5 linked regions of the Mus musculus genome follow. The protein of the gene in region 2 purifies or fractionates together with the protein of the main gene of each other region. This does not show direct contact. Links are inferred from orthologs where the notes say so. Each region holds a gene or a part of one and is shown on either strand. Other genes may lie near its edges.

The links.
Region 1: the proteins of Ppp6r2 (region 2) and Ankrd28 purify together in Homo sapiens (co-immunoprecipitation; 4 studies listed by BioGRID and IntAct, counting the BioPlex papers as one, with this or other methods). This does not show direct contact. The link is inferred for Mus musculus from reciprocal best matches to the Homo sapiens genes PPP6R2 and ANKRD28.
Region 3: the proteins of Ppp6r2 (region 2) and Plk1 purify together in Homo sapiens (affinity purification with mass spectrometry; 7 studies listed by BioGRID and IntAct, counting the BioPlex papers as one, with this or other methods). This does not show direct contact. The link is inferred for Mus musculus from reciprocal best matches to the Homo sapiens genes PPP6R2 and PLK1.
Region 4: the proteins of Ppp6r2 (region 2) and Aurka purify together in Homo sapiens (affinity purification with mass spectrometry; 4 studies listed by BioGRID and IntAct, counting the BioPlex papers as one, with this or other methods). This does not show direct contact. The link is inferred for Mus musculus from reciprocal best matches to the Homo sapiens genes PPP6R2 and AURKA.
Region 5: the proteins of Ppp6r2 (region 2) and Ankrd52 purify together in Homo sapiens (affinity purification with mass spectrometry; 3 studies listed by BioGRID and IntAct, counting the BioPlex papers as one, with this or other methods). This does not show direct contact. The link is inferred for Mus musculus from reciprocal best matches to the Homo sapiens genes PPP6R2 and ANKRD52.

Annotation. Positions count from the first base shown.
Region 1 is NC_000080.6:31,743,416-31,746,926, forward strand, and holds part of Ankrd28 (serine/threonine-protein phosphatase 6 regulatory ankyrin repeat subunit A), read right to left. Parts: coding exon 3,498-3,511; intron 1,949-3,497; coding exon 1,806-1,948; intron 21-1,805; coding exon 1-20. UniProt on the Homo sapiens protein: Regulatory subunit of protein phosphatase 6 (PP6) that may be involved in the recognition of phosphoprotein substrates. Involved in the PP6-mediated dephosphorylation of NFKBIE opposing its degradation in response to TNF-alpha.
Region 2 is NC_000081.6:89,210,257-89,214,361, reverse strand, and holds the start of Ppp6r2 (serine/threonine-protein phosphatase 6 regulatory subunit 2), read right to left. Parts: upstream 2,804-4,105; 5' UTR 2,583-2,803; intron 1-2,582. UniProt on the Homo sapiens protein: Regulatory subunit of protein phosphatase 6 (PP6). May function as a scaffolding PP6 subunit. Involved in the PP6-mediated dephosphorylation of NFKBIE opposing its degradation in response to TNF-alpha.
Region 3 is NC_000073.6:122,157,940-122,162,242, reverse strand, and holds the start of Plk1 (serine/threonine-protein kinase PLK1), read right to left. Parts: upstream 2,809-4,303; 5' UTR 2,701-2,808; coding exon 2,293-2,700; intron 1,708-2,292; coding exon 1,539-1,707; intron 737-1,538; coding exon 592-736; intron 1-591. UniProt on the Homo sapiens protein: Serine/threonine-protein kinase that performs several important functions throughout M phase of the cell cycle, including the regulation of centrosome maturation and spindle assembly, the removal of cohesins from chromosome arms, the inactivation of anaphase-promoting complex/cyclosome (APC/C) inhibitors, and the regulation of mitotic exit and cytokinesis.
Region 4 is NC_000068.7:172,364,069-172,367,579, forward strand, and holds part of Aurka (aurora kinase A), read right to left. Parts: intron 3,104-3,511; coding exon 2,854-3,103; intron 429-2,853; coding exon 374-428; intron 1-373. UniProt on the Homo sapiens protein: Mitotic serine/threonine kinase that contributes to the regulation of cell cycle progression.
Region 5 is NC_000076.6:128,375,986-128,379,931, forward strand, and holds the start of Ankrd52 (serine/threonine-protein phosphatase 6 regulatory ankyrin repeat subunit C), read left to right. Parts: upstream 1-1,138; 5' UTR 1,139-1,237; coding exon 1,238-1,264; intron 1,265-1,583; coding exon 1,584-1,667; intron 1,668-2,102; coding exon 2,103-2,181; intron 2,182-2,367; coding exon 2,368-2,438; intron 2,439-3,395; coding exon 3,396-3,596; intron 3,597-3,946. UniProt on the Homo sapiens protein: Putative regulatory subunit of protein phosphatase 6 (PP6) that may be involved in the recognition of phosphoprotein substrates.

The sequences.
Region 1 (3,511 bases), on a different chromosome or scaffold from region 2:
TAGGCATTTGGTTCATTCATCTAGAGGAAAAAATGGGAATGGGAATTCTATTACTACTATAAGCTACTTTAAATTACTAGTAATAGAAAAAGGGATAAATACAGACATGAGGTTTATAATGCTAAAGTTGTTTTACAATAATAGACCTAACAATAAGCAACTTAGTTTTATATGGGCTACATACACTTAGAGAATGTGCTTCATAATACAATGTTAAATTCTTCCACAAGAGTTATTTTAAGAAAAGAAAAATAATGGATTTTCAAAAGTCTTTGAGCTAAGAGAGAATTCACTATAAATGGTGATTGGAGGCAAGCATACCTCGGTCATCTATTTCAGAGGGCCACTAAAGCCATTATGCTAATTGGTTGAAAGAGAGCTACAAGAACTGTTAGCAAACTGAAACTTGAAGCCATCTTGTACTTCTCGGGGTCCCATTCAACAATATGTTTGGGTGTTTTGCAACTTCTTCTAATTCCCACATTTTCCATGTATTCCTTGTTTTCAGTAAAGTGTTTCTCATAGTCCTGTCATGTCTTGTCTAACTAGAATCACAAGCTTTTTGACAGCTTTTGCAATTAAGACCTTATAGTCTTCCTCTCTTTGTTCTCTCCTTTCTCCTTATCTACTGCTTTGAAAAATTGGTAAGCTTAACTCACATGTTCCTACAATAAGAGTAAATAACATTAGAGCAGGGAGAGTGGCACACACCTATTATGCAAGCACTTGCAAATTGAGACAGAAGGATTCCAAATTTGAGGCCAACTTGGGCTATACAATGAGACTGTCCCCCAAACCAAAAGAGTAAATCTATTACAAGTGGGAGTAAAGGACATGTTTTTAAAATGATACATAAAAGCTAGATGGATTTTTATTTAGGCATCAAATATATACCAAGAGATTAGTATCCCTTCCTAGCCAAAAAGAATGGTAGTACTATACAGTGCTTATATAGTGTTTATAGTACACACACACATTTTTATTTATATATACGTATAATAAATACATCTTTTGTTGTCTTCCTCTCTTGCATTTGCCAGTATCCCATTATTCTATAGTCACTTAAAGTAAAGTTAGACTTACTGGCTCAGAAAACTGACAATAACACAGCTACCTAGTCAACATGTATCTGATCTGCTAGCACCCAGAGAACTGGAAGAAACAGAGCTACAGGAACTAAAAAAAGAAACTTTGGGTAAATCACTCATCTTTGGAATAGGTTTTAACTCTTTACATAGTTTGTCTAATTATACTGGCTAATTTTATGTCACCTTGACACAATCAAGAGTCATCTTAGAGGAAGGAACCTCAATTGAGAAACTGCCTCCATAAAACTGGGCTATATACAAATCTATAGTTCATTTTTTTTAATTGATGATTGATGACAGGGCCCAGCCCATTGTGAGTGATGTCATCCCTGGGATGGTCATCCAGGGTTTAAGAGAAAGTGAGATGAGCAAGCTATGTATGAGCAAGCCAGTAAGCAGTACTCCTCCATGGCTTCTGGACCAGTTCCTGCCTCCAGGATCCTGTTCTGACTTCCTTTGGTGATGGAAGTGACATGGAAGCATAAGCTGAATGAACTCCCTTCTCCCCAGGTTGCTGTTGGTCATGGTGTTTCATCACAGGATGGCAATCCTCACTAGATACATGTACTGATCATAGCAGTATACTAGCTAGTGAAGAGTTAGAAAGACTTGGTAAGAGGACAAAGATATTACTGTTATCTTTCAAACCTAAGTTCTGATAACAGAATAACAAAACACAGAATACATGAATTTATACTGCTCAAGCTATATACCTACATCAACTCCAAGATCTAGAAGATATTTGACTACACTGATCATTCCACTAGAGGCTGCTGCATGAAGAGGTGTGTAAGACTTCTTATCCTTACATGTCACTTCAGCTCCATGAGATACAAGTAATTTTACTACTTCAATGTGACCTAAAAATACATAAAACAAACAACAACAAAAAAAAACCAAAGAAACAAGCAAAAAACCATTAGCACATAGAAATTATTAAATATAAAATAGCACATTAATTTTCTAATGCATAATGAATTCAAGACGAATTCAGATTATTTTTGAAAAATATTGGTAGAGAGAATAACTAAAAACAATACAATTTACTTCTAGTGTTAACCTTGACTAGATCTTGTTCCTCTATCTCAAGGTCATTTAACATCTCCTTCTTTCCCTTTTACCTTGTGATGATGTGCTCTGTCAGGTCATGGCATGACACAGCAAGAAGGGAGGTACTGACCAGATGACAGAACCCTCACTTGGACTGCCAAAGCTCCAAAATTTGAAAGAAATGAAATTCTGCTCAGAATAAATTACCTAAGTTTGGGTATTCTGTTATAGCAACACAAGGTAGATCAAGCATGTACTGCTATCTTCAAAGCATAGAATACCCTTTTAATCATAATCATCTATACCGAGGACAAGCAATCCATGCTAAGGCCCAGACTGAGGACCACATACTTAACTATTTCAGAAGCTCAACTTCAAACAATATTATTCTGGCTTTCATTTCATGAAAGTCTGTTATGTCAAACCTAATTCCTTCCAAGTGAAAGGCCAACTATACTCCACTTACTGTGCATATACCTTTTAAACACAGAATGTGTTGTTTAAAATCATATACACTGTTTCTAAACTGCCCCGATCATTAGCCTACAACAGATTACTCAGGAAAGTCTTCAGAGACGTAAGGATGTAAGATTGCACACAGAGTGAAAGACTTCAGGATGAAACCCCTCCTGGCATTTTACCTTCAATTAACAAGAAAGATTTTCCTTATATAAGAAGAGGCACTTATTTTTGGCACTAAACATCACATTTTCGGATTTTGGCCATCAAAATAGGATATGTGACTAAAATGGTATCCTTAGGGGTGGAAGTGCGCACTTCTAATGCCAGTGCTGGGGAGCTGGGAACAAGTAGGTCTCTTGGACTCGTTAGCTAGTCTGTCTAATACAATCCTAGGTCCTAGTCAGAGGCCATGACTCAGAAAATAAGGTGAAGAATTCCTGAGGAATGATACTGTGCATCTGTGAAAACACACACACTGCTTATAATAATAGGGTTTAGTTTTTTCAGAGACAGAGATTGAACTCAAGGCCTTGTGCATACAAAGCAAACACAGCAACGCTTCAGCTTTACCTCCAGTTTAGTAAAATGCAACTTCTCAATGCATCTTCACAACTCATACTTTAATCATCCAGTAAAAGAGGAATGGATATGTGAATGAGCTTTCAGTAAACACTCACTGCAAGTTAACCATTCCAGGCCACCATCTGCGATGCCTCTTCTAAATTTCTATAAACTAGATCTAGTGCACTGCTGCAGCACGTCTCCTCTACCTGGTCTGCTTGGGCAGCAATCTCAGATACTGCATAACTCAGTTATATAAAAATACAGAAATGCAAAAACCAAAATGCATTAATTCCCCTAAATACACAGTCAAAAGCAAATTTAAAAGGTACATACCCATATATGCTGCC
Region 2 (4,105 bases):
AGCAAGTTCCAGAACAGCTGAGGCTACAGAGAGAGACCTTGTCTCCAAATAAATAAATGAATCAATCAATACTAAATGCAATGGCACACAAGAAATACTCAGCACATTTATCATGTGCACTAAGTAAAGAGCTATTCCCAACGCTTTAAATATTATCTCCCTGCTCAAAATTGTATGTTCAGCCTAACCTCTCCTGTTTCACATCTGTCGGTTAGATACATTCTCCCTAATGGCCCCTGGGCTTCTTAGAAGTTTCCCACTAGTCTCAGCCGAAGGAAAACCTTGCTTGCTCTCTCTAACATGTAACCATTCCCTCATATCTATCACTGCCTCAACCCAGCTTCTCCATTTAATTAGACGATGCTACTACCCAGCCATTTCACTTCTACCGAGAAGTCTGGGACTCTCTCTGAGCTCTCTCACTCTCTCATACCCCTCTTCAATTGTTACTTACGGCTCTAAGAAGCTTCAACAGCTTTTCCTCCAAAATACCTCCCTAAATTAACTACTGAGGTTTGAACCACAACACCCCCTCCTATCCAGATAGTCATAATGCCCCACAACTCAATCTCCAGCCTAGAACCACCCCCCTCACCCCCCACCCCCCTCAAGCTGTAAGGCTGACTAGAAGACAAACATTCTCAGCCAACCTAGACACACCAATATTATCTAGTTCCTGCAAGAGATCTGGGCCCTTTCCATCTCCTCCCGATGTCCGTGTTGAAAGGCTCTGGCCTGCTCTCCCACCCTCCTCCTTAAAGCTAATTTCTTACTGGGCAATGGTAGCATACTTTAATCCCATCAGTTGGGAGGCAGAGGCCAGGTGGATCTCTGTGAGTCTGAGGCCAGCCTGGTCTAGGTCTACAGAGCTAGTTCTAGGACAGCCAGGACTACGCAAAGAAACCCTGTCTAGAAAAAAAACAAACAAAAGATAGCCTCTTTTTTTTTTTTTTTTTTTTTTTTTGTTTGTTTGTTTGTTTGTTTTTCGAGACAGGGTTTCTCTGTATAGCTCTGGCTGTCCTGGAACTCACTTTGTAGACCAGGCTGGCCTCGAACTCAGAAATCCGCCTGCCTCTGCCTCCCAAGTGCTGGGATTAAAGGCGTGCGCCACCACTGCCCGGCGATAGCCTCTTTTTTGCCTCCAAGAGCTTATTTAGCTCACATGAGAACCAGAGAGGTCAAAGGGCTGACCCAGAACATAAGAACATCAAGAGATGAACACATCAGACTTGGTTGGGAAAACTTTTAATCCCAGGCAAAGGTAGGCAAATCTCTGAGTTTCAGTCCAGCTTGCTCTACATAGATAGCCAAGACTCCATAGCAAGACCCTGTCTCAGAAAAACAGAAAGGGAGAGAGGCGTGAAGAGATAAGAATGAGGACTGAAGCTGGGTGACAGTAGCCCTCGCCTTTGATACCAGCACTAGGGAGGCAGAGGCAGGCGGATCTCTATGGAGTTTAAGGCCAGAGTTCCAGGACATCTATGGCTACACAGTAAAACAGTCCCGGAAAGGGGGGGGGGGGGATAGGGAATGGAATGAGATGGTAAGAAGCCAGCAAGCAGCATTGTCAGGTAGGACACAGATGAAGGTGTCAGTGAAAACCTGAAAACCTGTCTGGAATAAGGCCTAGGGACATGGTTGAGGATGGTGACAAATTGCGGGGAGGGGCTACAGCAGAAAGCGAGAATTGGGGAAAGTGACTGGACTGAGAGCTGATAGCGAACAGCAAGAGCTCCGTAATAGATTGGAAACAGCCTTCACTAAGTGAGTAGTCAGCTGTGAGGATACAAAGTAGCAGGTGAAGAAGTTCCAGAAAGAAGAGGCGCATGGGAGAAGCAAAAGATGATGGGGGGGGGGGGGGAGTGGGAGAAAGACAGTGGGTGATGATGACAACTGGGGAACGACCCGGAAGAGGAATGGGATGGAAATAAAGGACAATAACAAAGCGAGCGCTTGGCAGTGGGCACTGGTAGGAGGAGATGAGCGAGCGGGGAGGGAACGCTTGATAGGTGGAAAGGTCACCACCAGCGGGGCCCCTGATGAGGAGGGTGGAAAAAAAAAAAAAACCCAAAGATGAGATAGGGAACACTGACAACTCCCCAGGCCCTGTATCCAAGGTCCGCCCCACCTCTACAGCCACCGACAGAGGTGAGGGACCTTGATAGGAGCAGAGGTGGACAACTGGGAGGGAGAGAACCAGGCGGCCACTAAGAGGCTGAGACTAATTCTGAGAGTGGGGAAAAACTGACCACTGACAGGCCAGGAGCTGGGATAGTAGCTAAAAGGGATGTTGACTGTCAAGAAGGGTGAGCGCTGAGGGAAGGGAAGGGATGGATGGATGGATGGATGGATGGATGAATGAATGACGGCAGTGGAGAGTGCTGGCTGACCGGGAAGCAGACTGATGGAGGCGCTGACCCCCTGACGAAGCGCAGGGTGACAAAGGCGCTGCTCTACTGACAGGGCGCTGACCGCACAAGCTGAGTGACAGCAGGACGCTGACGGCCCGAAGGCGGTGGGGGGTGGGGGTGTCCCTCCTGTCCCCGGGCCGCAGGAAGCGGTGGGCGCGCGGCCGCACTCACCTGCCCAGCAGGCTGGGGGTCGCAGCGACTCCTCCTCCGAGGGAGGCCCAAGCGAGGCCAGGACGCTCGCAGAGGTGAAGTGCGGACGGCCTGGAGCGGGCCGCACGCACATGGGCCCGACCCCGCGGCGCGGCGCCTTCGGACTCGGGCGCAGCCGGCGGGAGGCTCGGGACCCGCTCGGGACCGGCTCGGGGCCGCGGGCGAGATCGCTCCAAAATGGCGGCGGCGGCGGCGGGGGCGCGCGCGAGCGAGCGAGCGGGCCGGCGGGCGAGCGCGCGGACGGGGGAGGGGCGGGGGCGCGCCCCGGGGGCGGGGCCACCGGAGGAGGCACAGAGTGGCGGCCGCGGTCCAGGGTCTGTCTGGTGGAGTCGCGCTGGGGGAACGTCCTGAGGCGTCCCCGTGATCGAGCTGGCTGTGCTAAATAAATCCTCTGGGCACCTTCAAGTCCCCAGAGCGGTGCGCGCGCTCGTCTCCGCTACGTCCTGTTTCTGAACTGGACTGTCCGCTGATCTACTTGGTTTGTTTGTTTTTTTGGTTTTTTTTTTCCTTATTTATTTATTTATTTAATGTAAGTACACTGTAGCTGTCTTCAGATGCACCAGAAGAGGGCATCAGATTTCACTGCGGATGGCTGTGAGCCATCATGTGGTGGCTGGGATTTGAACTCAGGACCTTTGGAAGAGCAGTCAGTGCTCTTAACCGCTGAGCTAGCCCTTTTTACCTTTTTTTTTTTTTTTTTTTTTTTTTTTGGTTTTTCGAGATAGGGTTTCTCAGTGTAACAGAGCCCTGGCTGTCCCGGACTTGCTTTGTACACCAGGCTGGCCTCGAACTCACAAGAGATTCTCCTGTCTCTCTGCCTCTGCCTCTGTGTTGAGATCAAAGCCGTTTTGTTTTGTTTTGTTTTGTTGTTTAGTTTCGTTTTGTTTTGTTTTTTTTTTTTCTTTTCTTGGATACCGATCCTTGTTGTCCAGGGCTTGTGTACGTCACATACGTGGCCATCTAACATGGGTTGAAATGAGTTCAAATTAAATTAATCTCTAAAATGAGACTGATTTCCGGTGGCAGTGTGAGCCATGGGAAAATATCAAAAAAAAAAAAAAAGAAACATGTAAGGAATGTGTCAACACATGCTAGCTATGAACTCACTCACTCTCAGTGGCAAGTTCACTACCGCTGTGCGAAAGTATAAGCCGGCGTGGGTGGTTGCACTTGGGAGACCAAAGCAGGAGGAGTTTCAGGCAAGCAAAACATACTGGCGCACATCTTTAATACCAGAGGCAGGGGGGATCTCTGCCAGTTCGAGACTCGCCTACTCTACTCTACTCAGCGAGTTCCGGGTCAGCTAGGACTACAGAGTGTAAAAATGTCTAAGGGGGAGACATTTCTGGGCCCTTCCAAGATTTTTTTTTTCTTTGAAGTGGTGCTGCTGTGTTTCCCCCTTTTCTCAGCAGAGGGCGCCAAAGAGACACTGTTGGAGGAAAGGAAATCGATTTTTTTTGTTTTGTTTTCTTCCCCGGTTTGGA
Region 3 (4,303 bases), on a different chromosome or scaffold from region 2:
AGTCCAGTGACACAGCAACCAAAGGCTGGGACAAGCCCTCAGAAGGATGCAAGTGACAACACCTGTGTACCAAGGGGCCAGGAATTGACGGCTCTGGCCTACAGTGACCGAGGACTCTCCCAGTGCCCCAGAGGCCACTGCTATCCACCACAGGCCACCGTGGTGGTTCTGCCTATCGCCAGGCTTTCTACTGGCCTAGTTCTCCCTTCAGCACTCAGCAGGACTTCCAATGCTCCATGGAAAGTCAGGCAGGGATTGTATTAAACCCAGGTTCAGATCTGAAATTCTGAATTCCTAACAAGCTCTCAGGTGTTGATGGTTTGGATCTGTGCATACTTTTAGTAAGCACCAAGGGCCAGGAGGAAAAGTTCAGGGACTTTTTGATCCCTTCCCTGGACCAACAAGTCAAGTTACAGGAATCCAACAGCCTACGCCAGACTGATATATGAAAAGCAGGGTTTCATGTGGGACAGCCTGTCCACTAAAACAGCCTTTCTATAAGGTAGAAAGATTCACATGGCAAAGTCAACTGGGTGAGAAGCCTCAGAAAGCCCTGCTGAGGCCCAGGAGCCAAGGCCATTGCCAACTTACATGATGCACCCAATGGACCACACATCCACCTCAAAACTGTGTCCCTTCTTGCTCAGCACCTCAGGAGCTATGTAGTTAGGAGTGCCACACAAGGTCTTCTTTCGTTCCCCTTCATATTCCACTTTGGTTGCCAAGCCAAAATCCCCTGGGACAGAGGAAAGAAGAGAGGGTGCTCAGCTGCTAAGCCCGGGCTGTCTGTGGTTGCAGGCAGCTCTGTTTTGATCCTGAGCATTGAGAACTAGTGGCTTGAGGCCCCAGAGTCCCTGAACCCTTCCACTGTACTGGCCCTAGCCAGCCTCCCACACACCTCTTTAGATAGCAGGGTTACGGTGGTTAAGGTGGCTCAGGAGGTAAAGGGGCTTGCTGCCAAGACTGATAACATGATCTACGTCGATCCTGGGACCCACACAGTGGAAAGAAAGAACTGACTCCTTGAAGTTAGCCTGTCTCCATTCATAAGTAAATGAAATTTAAAATGCACAGGATAGCAGAATTAGATGCACTGGGGAATCAAGTAGATGATCTTCGTGACTGCTGCTGGGCAAGTGTGTGGAGAAGTGACAGGGATCTAGGGACTGGCCAATCAGACTCAAGGGGGCAGGTTTTTCAGCTTAGTAAAGAGACACCTGAGGAGATGCTGCCTGCCATACTCTACAGCGTAAGTCCAGACCTGAAATTGGCTGAGGGTCTGGCTCAGTGCTAGGTTATAGAGAAGCATTTGGGGGAGGGGCCCCAAGTTCAAAACTACTGAGTTGAGGCATAAACACCAATGCATCTAAAAAAAAGGCAAGGAAAGTGTCACACACACACAAACACACACACACACACACACACACACACACACACTTTCCACTTCCTAACTAGAGGGCAGCATCTCTATTTCCTCACCTTCCCCTCCTTGTCCCCTCCTGCCCTGACACCAGACACCCGAAGGCCCAGCACCTCACCTATTTTCACCTCCAGATCCTCGTTCAGGAAGAGGTTGCCCAGCTTGAGGTCCCTGTGAATGACCTGATTGCGGTGCAGGTACTGGCAGCCCAGGACTATCTGTCGCAGGTAGTAGCGGGCCTCAGGCTCGGTCAGTGCCTTCCTCCTCTTGTGCAGCTCCAGGAGGGACTGAGGAGGGAGAAAGAGGTCACTGAAGTCCAAGAAGAGTGGCTAGCTGGATGTGGCTAGGACTAGACGCTCGGAGTGGAGAGTCTTAGCAGGTTTCTGATAGTTCTACCCATACACTGGTTGGTCACTATCATTCACCAGACCCTCTCCTGAGTCTTCTCTCAACCCCACTCTCGACTCCCCTACCCAGGGCTTCCTCCTGGCAGGAGATTCCCTCCCTTTCCTGAAAGCTCTAAAATCTGACTCCAAACAGCCGCCCCCTCCCCCGACCCTGCCCCACTCCGGAAGTTAGAGGTGCGTGGCACACCAAGCCTGGGACCCTTCCTTAGCCACTTTATGAATCCATTTCCTGTACCGACTCGCTGCCTTGCGTCTGGGAGCTCCATCCCTAATAGCAACAGGATCTGGTCTCGGTTTCCCCAGAACCCCGGCCTCAGCAGTTCGGAGTGCCAAGTACCCTCGCTAGAAGCCTTTCCATAAAAGTTTGAAACCCAACCACTCCTCTAGGTCACTCCAAAACCTCGGTGCCCCTTTGTCAGCAAGTTCCAGGTGTGGGAGCCCCAGCACTGCGACTGAAACACTCACCCTCCTGCGACAGAGCTCCAAAACTACAAATACAAAGTCGCTGTCCTCAAAAAAGTCATGGAAGCCTACGACGTGTTGGTGTGCTAGGCTGCGGTGAATTGAGATCTCCATAGACATCTTCTCCTTCTGGTGGGGCTTGAGCAGCAAAGACTTAGGCACGATCTTGCCTGCGAACACCTCTTTTGTGTCTGCGTCTGAGATCTCGAAGCATTTGGCGAAGCCTCCTTTACCCAGAAAGCGCCCCCGTACATACTGCCGCCGGCTGCGTGGGTCCACTAGGACCTCCGGAATTTCTTTCGCCAGCGGGGCGGCCACTGGGGCACCGGGAACTGCATCTCCCGGAACCCCACCTTTCCCGAGGTCGGCTGGTGCTCGAGCCAGCTTTCCAGCTTTGGCCGCTGCATTCATGATGCCGAAGTTGCTCCACGAACCTGGCTGAGTCGGTGCAGAGGGTCCTGCTCTGCTCCGCTCCTCCCCGAATTCAAACGCGGCGCTGGGAACGTTACAAGGGCCTGCGCGTTGCTGATTGGCCGCGGGGATTTAAAATACAAACCCGCCCAGCGCGCGGCACCATGGGAGTGCTCTACGGCGCAGCCGCCTTTAAACTCCGATCTTGCCGGCGAAATTTTTAATGGGCAGGGACTGGAGGACTGCGTTTGCTCAGGATTGCCTGGGAAACCAGGAACGAAGCAACTACGTGAAGATCCCTAGAAGAACAGGATTCTGTCCTGCTTTCTGCTCCTCGGCTGGGGCGTGCTCATGTGGTTCACCTGCGCCTCCTCCAGGGGCTTCTCCTAACTGTTAAGATCTAACACCTTCCTCCACCGGACCCGGCCTTCTAGAACTGAAACTCCAGGCCAACCGGTAGCTTGAGAGTGCACCGCCTCCGCGGTGGACAGCCCTCTCCCCGGCTAGCCTAAATAAACCCAAAACTGAGCAAGCTCAGCAGGCAGATGCACCTTCACGGCGCAACGGACCGATCTCCTCTGTGGCACTAGGGGCTCCCAGCCCCTGAGAAGTAACTCAACCCTTCTCTTGAACAACGCAGGAGGCCAGCAGCATCTGCAGCACCTGGAATTCCCTAAGAAGGCAAAGGAGGGGCGTGGGTTCAGGATTACAAGTTAGCCGAGATCAGCCTCAGCTACCGCTCCACTAACCCCAAAGGAAAGAAACTTCCCAGGCATGACCTGCCGGTCAAACAAGACCTTCAGATGATTCCTATGCCCTGTGATATGTAAGAAACACCGGACGTCTGCCCCGCGATGCAAGGTTACCTGGGTTGTTCCAAGTTGTGTGGCCCAGAGCCCCAAATAGAAAAAATTAATTTTTTAGTCAGAGGTGGGGGGGTAGCTGGTTAGAAGAGTGCTAGCATGCCGGTATACCAAGGCCAAGTCTGCCCTGCCGAAGTGTCCGTTCAGCCTTCACTTAGGAAAAAAAAAAAATGAGCCGGGGCGTAATGGCACACACCTTTAATCCCAGCACTGGGGAGGCAGGCGGATTTCTGAGTTCAAGGCCAGCCTGGTCTACAAAGTGAGTTCCAGGACAGCCAGAGCTATACAGAGAAACCCTGTCTCGAAAAAAAAAAAAAAATGGATTTACAACATGTAAAAAGAGTGGCCACACAGAGCAGGCGTGTGGCTTTTCATAGAAAAAAACGGCCAGCTCTGGTCACTGTTCCCAGACACCCTCTTTGCCCCCCTGCCTATCTGGGCACTTAAGTGATACCTTCCGTTAGAAGCTGTTGTTGCTCTAGTTCCCCCAGGAGGGTCTTAGCAAGATCCAATTGCTGGATTGAGCAAAAAATGGCAGTGCTGCTGTCTTTCCCAGTCTCTGGGTAACGATTGTACTTTCTGAATAAGGCAGAGCTTTGTCTCCAAAAACTTAAGCTTGCCAGGAGTGGGCATGCACCCTCAATCCCAGTGCTGGGGAAAACAGGCAGGCAGGCCTCTGAATTCTAGGCTAGACGCGCACACACATGCGCACACGCTTCTGCGTGTCAGAGAACATGCAG
Region 4 (3,511 bases), on a different chromosome or scaffold from region 2:
CCTGCATCCCCAGAGAAGCTAACAGGCTGTGGGTTCGAGAGTCACTCTGGTGGGAAACACAGAGCCACTGTCACTGGTAGGAGCAGGGAAGGGCCAACAGGCCACTCCAAATTACTATCCAAATTGTGTACAAGTTCATGGGATTGTAGCATCTTTGGCAGGTTTTTGGTTTTTTGTTTGGGTTTTTTTTTTTGGTTTGTTTTTACTACTTTTTAAAATAAAGTTTTAACAAAAATCTTCTATGAAAAAGTAATTAAGGAAATAAAAAGAACTACTTTTGAGCCCCTGCTAAGTTTGAGTTTAGTGGGGATGGCATGAAGACAAGTGTCGCACAGCCCGACGGGTGCTCTCGTAGCAGAGACAGCAAGCTTACTTTTTTGTGTCTTCGGTCTTCTGCAAGGATGCCTGCTCCTTTTCAGAATCATTTCCTAGGAAATAAGTTAAATAAAGTTCTTTTAAGCAATTCAGTAAGAAACTAAGAGAAGCCAGATTGAATCCGTCAGCTTGGACAGGAGTTTGAGCCAGGACAGCTGAGTTACACCAACCAATAGAGTTCAGAAAGAGCTAGAACGGTAAGCGTGTTCTGCAGGAGATCTGAGAGGCCAGACAGTCCTAGGCCTAGACTAGATTACACAGAGGCTGGGAGTTTCCAGGCCCAGGCCCAGGTTAGCAGACGGAGTAAGCTTCCCAGACGACAATTACTTCAGGTGAATAAAACTTACTTTCACAATGACCCCAAACAGGACTTGAAACCAGAAGAAGCCACCCAAAATCCACTCCAGCCGAGTGTGTTTCGGATGGTGGAGTGACAGTGGCCCAGCTGAGAGGTGGGTCTGAGGGCAGCACTGGCTTCCTTTGCCTCCATCTGCTCCTCTGCCCTCAGAGCTTGCTGGAGCATCTCTCCCTTGCTGAATGATACTACATAAGCTTCAGCCATCTGCCCCTTCCGGTTTCCTGCTTTGTGACTAGTACATATGCACTCGATTCACATGGGTTTTCTCCAGACTTAGCTGTCTGCCTTGACTCATTTGTACAGACTGTTTTTCTTCATGAGGCCCAGCCTGAGTTCTCTCCCTCCTTACACTGCTACAGCTATCTCCTCCCATCCCATCTTTCAGGTCTTATCACGCACTGGTCTTGCATCTGCTTCCTAAACGAAGTGGCAGGTTTGCCCGTGCCTCTCCTTTCTGGAGTTGTCCTGGGCTAAGTTAACTGCTGCGTTTTAGTCTCTTCTGTGTAACATGCTGTCTACGTGAGTGCCTGCCAGGGCTGGGAGGATGCAGGTCAAGGCAATCCCAGAGGCGCTGTAAGCACCCACCAGCTGCCAAACAATCCCAACATCAGCCCGGTTCTGACACAGCCAAACCCACTACACAGTGAAAGTCCTGGAGCCTGCAACGCTGCTTGACCCACCCAGGCCCAGTAATGCTGAGCCAATGGCTGCAATCGCTGTCCTCTCTCTAACCTTTGAGATTTGGTCTCTGTGTGATTGTGTGGGGTTATGGTTGCCATGTTAGCAGGGACTTTCTGCATTAGGATTCCTTTTGTGTCTTCCTGAAAAAAACTATGTCTGAGTCTTTTGAGGAATCCTAAAATTAACTTTATCTGGTCACTATTTGGAAGTCTTCCTAATGCCCTGGAGATCATTAAGCACAGATAAGTACATAGCTAGATGAGGCCATCACTCCAGGAACCTTCCTGGGCTATCTGCCCCTGAGCAAACTCAAACAGTATAATTGATGCAGGGCAAACAGAGACAACTGACAAACTCTGACTGGGTAGGAGAACAGGCTACGGATTCAACATCTCTTTTTAGTATAGGCTTAGAGGTCTCTAAAAATGAAGTTTAAAAATAGGGAGTCATGCAGGGTACACTCCTAAAGGAATAAAACTCAGTAAATAGACTGACTGAAAGGGGCTTGTCCTACTTTATAGTGTAGATGGTGAAACAGTAAAAGAAGTTGGGCATTAGTATTTGCTCATGAAAAGATGGGTTCAGATATTCTCTGTCTGTCTGGAGTGCTTTCAAACAGCAAACACTGCCATCTTAAAAGTAGGATGTCATATAACAAATGTGTTTGTTTTGGAGGTGACATTCTTTAGAGTCTTTAAATTGAAGTTATAGGTTAATAAGAAGAATCTGCTGGGCAGTGGTGGCGCACACCTTTAATCCCAGCACTTGGGAGGCAGAGGCAGGCGGATTTCTGAGTTCGAAGCCAGCCTGGTCTACAGAGTGAGTTCCAGAACAGCCAGGGCTGCACAGAGAAATCCTATCTCGAAAAACCAAAAAGAAGAAGAAGGAGAAGGAGGAGGAGGAGGAGGAGAGGAGGAAGAGGAGAGGAAGAAGAGGAGGAAAAGGAGGGGGAAGAAGGAGGAGGAGGGGGGATGGGGGAGGAGGTGGTGCTCTGTTTGTATTTTCTAATTATGACTGAACTTGTGAGCCTGGACATGTAATGTAATGAAAAGTCCAACATCCCCCTTACCACCTCACCTGGCTCCCTCCCTCCTCTAGCCAACTCATCTCCTCTGCCAGCTAGCCTGTCAGGAAGGACCCTCCAACTCCCCTCTCCATGCTGGGGAACTCCTCCCTCCCAGGCCCTGGGAACCCAGAAGTCTCTCCATTACATCCAACATTTCCTTCTGCTCCGGGCAGAGGACATCTGCGAGCTTGGCCAGCAATGGTATCTGCATCCCAGCACTGGTGGAGCCCAAACCCAGACACACTGACATGTGTGACATACACCTGAGCATGGAGATCTCATTCTTTCTCTCCTCCTCAACAGACATGGTACAGAGGCTAGGACATCAAGGATAAACGCCAAGCTATGCATTTGAGCACCCAAGACCACTTACCGGAGGCTGCAGGCTGCTCATTCTTCTGGGGGTTATTGAGCCGGGACACAGGCCTAGGAACACTGGCAGCTGGCAACTGCTTTGGTGCCGGCTTCTGACCTGCTCCAAGTTTCTGGGCTTGTGAAGGGACACGCTGGGAGTTAGAAGGACACAGGACCCGCTGGGCCTGGCCACTGCTAGCAGATCCTAGGTTCTGAGACGGAATCTGCTCAGTCACCAAGACGCGTTTCGGACCGAAGGGAACAGTGGTCTGAGATGGAGAGAAGACAGGCGTTATGGCTTCAGGAAAGGCTGCTGCTACCCCAAGAACCAAGTGTCCTTTGCAGTCTAACAAAACCCCTAATATCTTGTATGACAAATGGGAATGGGGGGCAGAGAGAGGACTGAGCAGTCAAGAGCACTGCCTGCCCTCTCAGAGGCTCTGGCTCCCATTCCCAGCATCCACGCGGTGACTCACAACCACCTATAACTCCAGAGCCAGATCTGACCCTCTCTTCTGGCTACATGCAGGCAAACATTCATCCACAAAAGATATAAATATATAAACAACTCTTTAATAAGTAAAGTAAAGGGGAGGCGGCTGAAGCTGCCTTATTGTGCACGCGCCCTAAGGGAGGACTCGACCGACTCAAACCCCGCTTCCTTAACCACTCGCGAA
Region 5 (3,946 bases), on a different chromosome or scaffold from region 2:
AGCTGAACCACCTGCCCAGGCCCAACACTTTCTTGTTGGCTAATGGATATAGGCAGACCCGGTCCACTGTGGGTAGTACCATCCCTAGTCAGGTGGCCCTAAATTAGATAAGAGATCTGGTTAAGCTTGAGCCTGGGTTCATTCCTCCCTGGGTTCTTCGTTCAAGTTCAAGTCTGAGTTTCTGCCCTAAGTTTTCTCAAAGATGGACTAAACCCTTTCCTTCTTTTAGTTGGTTTGGTCATTGTTATCGTAGCAACACAAAGGAACTGGGGCTCATGATGTAGCCAGGACAGTTCTTGAATACACAATCCTCCTGCTTCAGGTTCCAGAGCGCAGGAATCTTATAAATGATTCACACCTGGCTCTAAAGCATCTTTTATAAATTGTACCCATCTATCAGTCTCCACTTTTCTTTCTCCCTCGGCCAACTGTCCCTGATTGGCTGCCTCTTTTGACCTCTCCAATGGGTGAGGGGGAGTTCCTCTCTACTGCCTTTTTACCGGGAGAAACAGTTACTACCCTAATCTGGCAGGGTAATTATGGAGTTGCTGTTGGGCTTAGAGGCCTTTCTTCAGCTGCCAAGTGTCCAGCTCTTCACGGAGGCTTCCTGAAGCAGGAGTCTTTTGAGATTTTTCTGCAGCTTAGCAATCTTGCTATTTTCTTTCTACCCAGTGGAGACTGGTTCTGGGGCCATCTATAAGTCTCGGGTCGCCACACTCCGAGTTTCCACTATCTCTGGGGTACTTGGGGGTGTGAGTACGGTCGGAGGCGTCCGCTCTACCGGAGCATTGTGGGCTGGGTGAGCTCTCGCCCGCTGTTTGGTCCTGGGCTCGGGAGTCACTGGGGGAGCGAGACCCGACTCCGTGCCATGGGCCTGCGAGAGACCCCTCGGGCCGCCCGACTGCAACGGAGGGCACAGCGCGGTCCGCTGGCGGAGCTGCGGAACCCGCGCGCGGGGTAGGGGGAGCCCGGGCCGCCCTGGCCGTCCTGGCGCGGGGCGAGGGCGCCGAGGCCTGGGCAGCCTGCGCGGACAGCGAGCACCCCGAGGCCCGGCCAAGGCTCGCCGCCAGGGAGCGCTGCGGGCTCCCGCTCGCCCGCCCCCCGGTAGGCGGGGCCGCCCTCTCCCCGCAGCCGCCGCCGCAGCCGCCGCCTGGGCCGCCCCGTGTCCCCGGTGGAGCCGCCGCCGCCGCTGCCGCCGCTGCCGCGAGCTCGATGCGGACGGAGCCTGGGCCGGGCCATGGGGATCCTCAGCATCACGGACCAGGTCAGCCCTCCCACCCTTCCCCACTTCCTCTTCCCAGGCCCCGGCACCGCCGCCACGCGAGCCCGGGGATGTGCGGCCTAGGCTGGGCCCGAGCCCGGGGTTCCCGCGGCTCCCGCCGCGCCCCACGCCGTGCTCCACTCCGTGGAGCGGGTGTCCTTGGGGGCCTGGCGACCGGTGGGGGCACGGCGGGAATCCGCTGCAGCCAGGACCCCTGTAGCGGAGCCCCTCCAGCGACGCCCCCCTCCAACCTGTGTGCTCCCCCACCTCCTGGTAACGCCGTGGCTCGGGCCCGCTCCCTGAAAGCTGGTTCTCCCTGCAGCCGCCCCTGGTCCAGGCCATCTTTAGCCGAGATGTGGAGGAAGTGCGTTCCCTCCTCTCGCAGAAGGAGAACATCAATGTACTGGTGAGTTGGGAGCAGGGAGGATGGCGAGCCGGAATCCGGAGGGGTTCGGGACCCCTCCCCACAAGTGGGGCGGCTCCGTTTCTCCTCTGCTCTGATGAAACTGCAGCTCTTTCTACCCAGAAATGGGAGCCTGCTCCGCATTTAAGGTTGGTCAGGCATGGAGCACCGATCATGGGTTCTGGGGATGCCCAGAAAACCCTGTCCCCTTCTCAACCATCGGGGTCTGCAGCGCCCCCACCCCTCCGGGAAGGAGTAGGTTTCTTGGTCGGTAGCCCTGACTCCACCCTCCCAGGATGCTGGCTTTTGAAGCCCGATATTGGGATTTAAGACCCTGCAGAAGAACCTAGAGGAAGGGAAGGGCTTGGAGTTCTCATACTAGAACTGGCGTTCAGGATAATTTCTCTCTACAGCTGCTTCTCTTTTCTGCCTTTCCAGGACCAAGAGAGGCGAACCCCATTGCATGCTGCTGCCTACGTAGGCGATGTCCCCATCCTCCAGTTGCTACTGATGTCAGGTGAAAGTGGGGAGCTGGGAGGTGCGGCATCTAGGGAGGGGAGAAGTCTTTTTAGATCCGAGGATTGATTGCTGGTGCTTGGTACAAGAATGGCTTTCTGTCCGTTCAGGTTCCCCACTCTGATTATTGGTTTCCTTCCCTCCCCCTCCTCAAATCCCAACAAAATAGCAAATTGTGTCCACACAGGTGCTAACGTCAACGCTAAGGACACACTGTGGCTGACCCCTCTTCATCGTGCCGCTGCCTCCCGAAACGAGGTACAGACCCTACCTCATTTCTCCCTTTCAAAAAGGATGGGCTGAGGGCTAGAGAAACTCAGTTCTCTGCCCTACAGACTCTTCTGCCCCACACAGGGAGGAGACCAGAGTTTGGCTTCTCCTTCCTGCCCCTAGAACTGGCTGGGGGGGGGGGGGCTGAGTGCTGCCAGCTGATGTGACGTCAGGGAGAGAGCTTAACACTGGGCTGGCAGACTGCGGGGGCCCTGCTGCCAGGCCTGAGTGACTCATCCCTCCCTGGGGGCCACCTTAAGTCTGATCCCCCTCTGGGCACTGAGATTTCTCTCCTTGTGATGGGGTGGGGAGTAGCAATTCTGTGTCCTTGCCCCTCGAGCAACATTTAAGTTGACTGCCTAAGGGCCCAAACTCATATGGAGTCCTGTACAATGGTGTTATCAACCCTGAAGAGGAAGGGAAGGCCTCTTTGATCTCCCATCACTTCCTTGGCTCCAGCTCCCAGGGGGAGAGAGCTTAAGGCCAGTGGGAATGGTGTGGGACATGTTTAACGGGAACATTGAATTTCGAAGGGGATCCAGTTATGCTTGTTTATTGGGGTTATATGATTTTGGTGTCTGTGGAAGGGCTAAGGGAAAGGATGTTTTTGCCATTAATACAGTGGGAGCCATTTGTTTTTCCTGGAATTAGGCTTGGGGTGTGTGGATTTGCCCAGGGTGGGTGTGAGTGGAGATTTTCGGGGACCTAAGTTGGAGGGTGGTAGATGCTAAGTGGCATGGGGAAGAGATCCCTGTTTTCCTCAGCAAAACAAAGATGTTTAAGCTCCAACAACCTCAGGTCTGGAGAGGCTAGGTGTGTAAAGGAAAGGAAGAGATACCATGCTAGGAAGATGGATGACTAGTCACCATACCAGCCCCTTCCTTCTGTCCTCTTATGTCACTTCCTGCTCCCCTCTGTCTTCTCTTGTCCCTTGCTCCACCACAGAAGGTGCTGGGGCTGCTGTTGGCACACTCAGCGGATGTGAATGCCCGGGACAAGCTGTGGCAGACACCACTGCATGTGGCTGCTGCCAACCGGGCCACCAAGTGTGCAGAGGCTCTGGCACCCCTGTTGAGCAGTCTCAATGTGGCTGACAGGAGCGGGCGCAGCGCTCTACACCATGCAGTACACAGTGGGCATCTTGAGGTGAGGAGCATTGCAGTCTAGACACAGTCTTCTCTCTGTTCCTTCTCACCCATAACTTACGTGCTTCCAGACCCAATGGGCAGGAGTGGCTCAGATAGTTATTTAGATACTGGGGCCCTGCCCCAGAGGAATGATTGTGTTAACCAGAGGGTTTTGTTGGGGGGGGGGGGATGTTTGTTTTTGAGATAGAGTCTCACTATGCATGCTTGTCTGGCCTGGAGCTTGCTATGTAGACAGCCTTGAACTTGAACTCACTGAGATCCCCCTGCCTCTGCTTTCTGAGTGCTCAGGTTAAAGGTACGCTAGCATCCACAGCTTATATTGAGTTTTTATTGATTTATTTTATATTT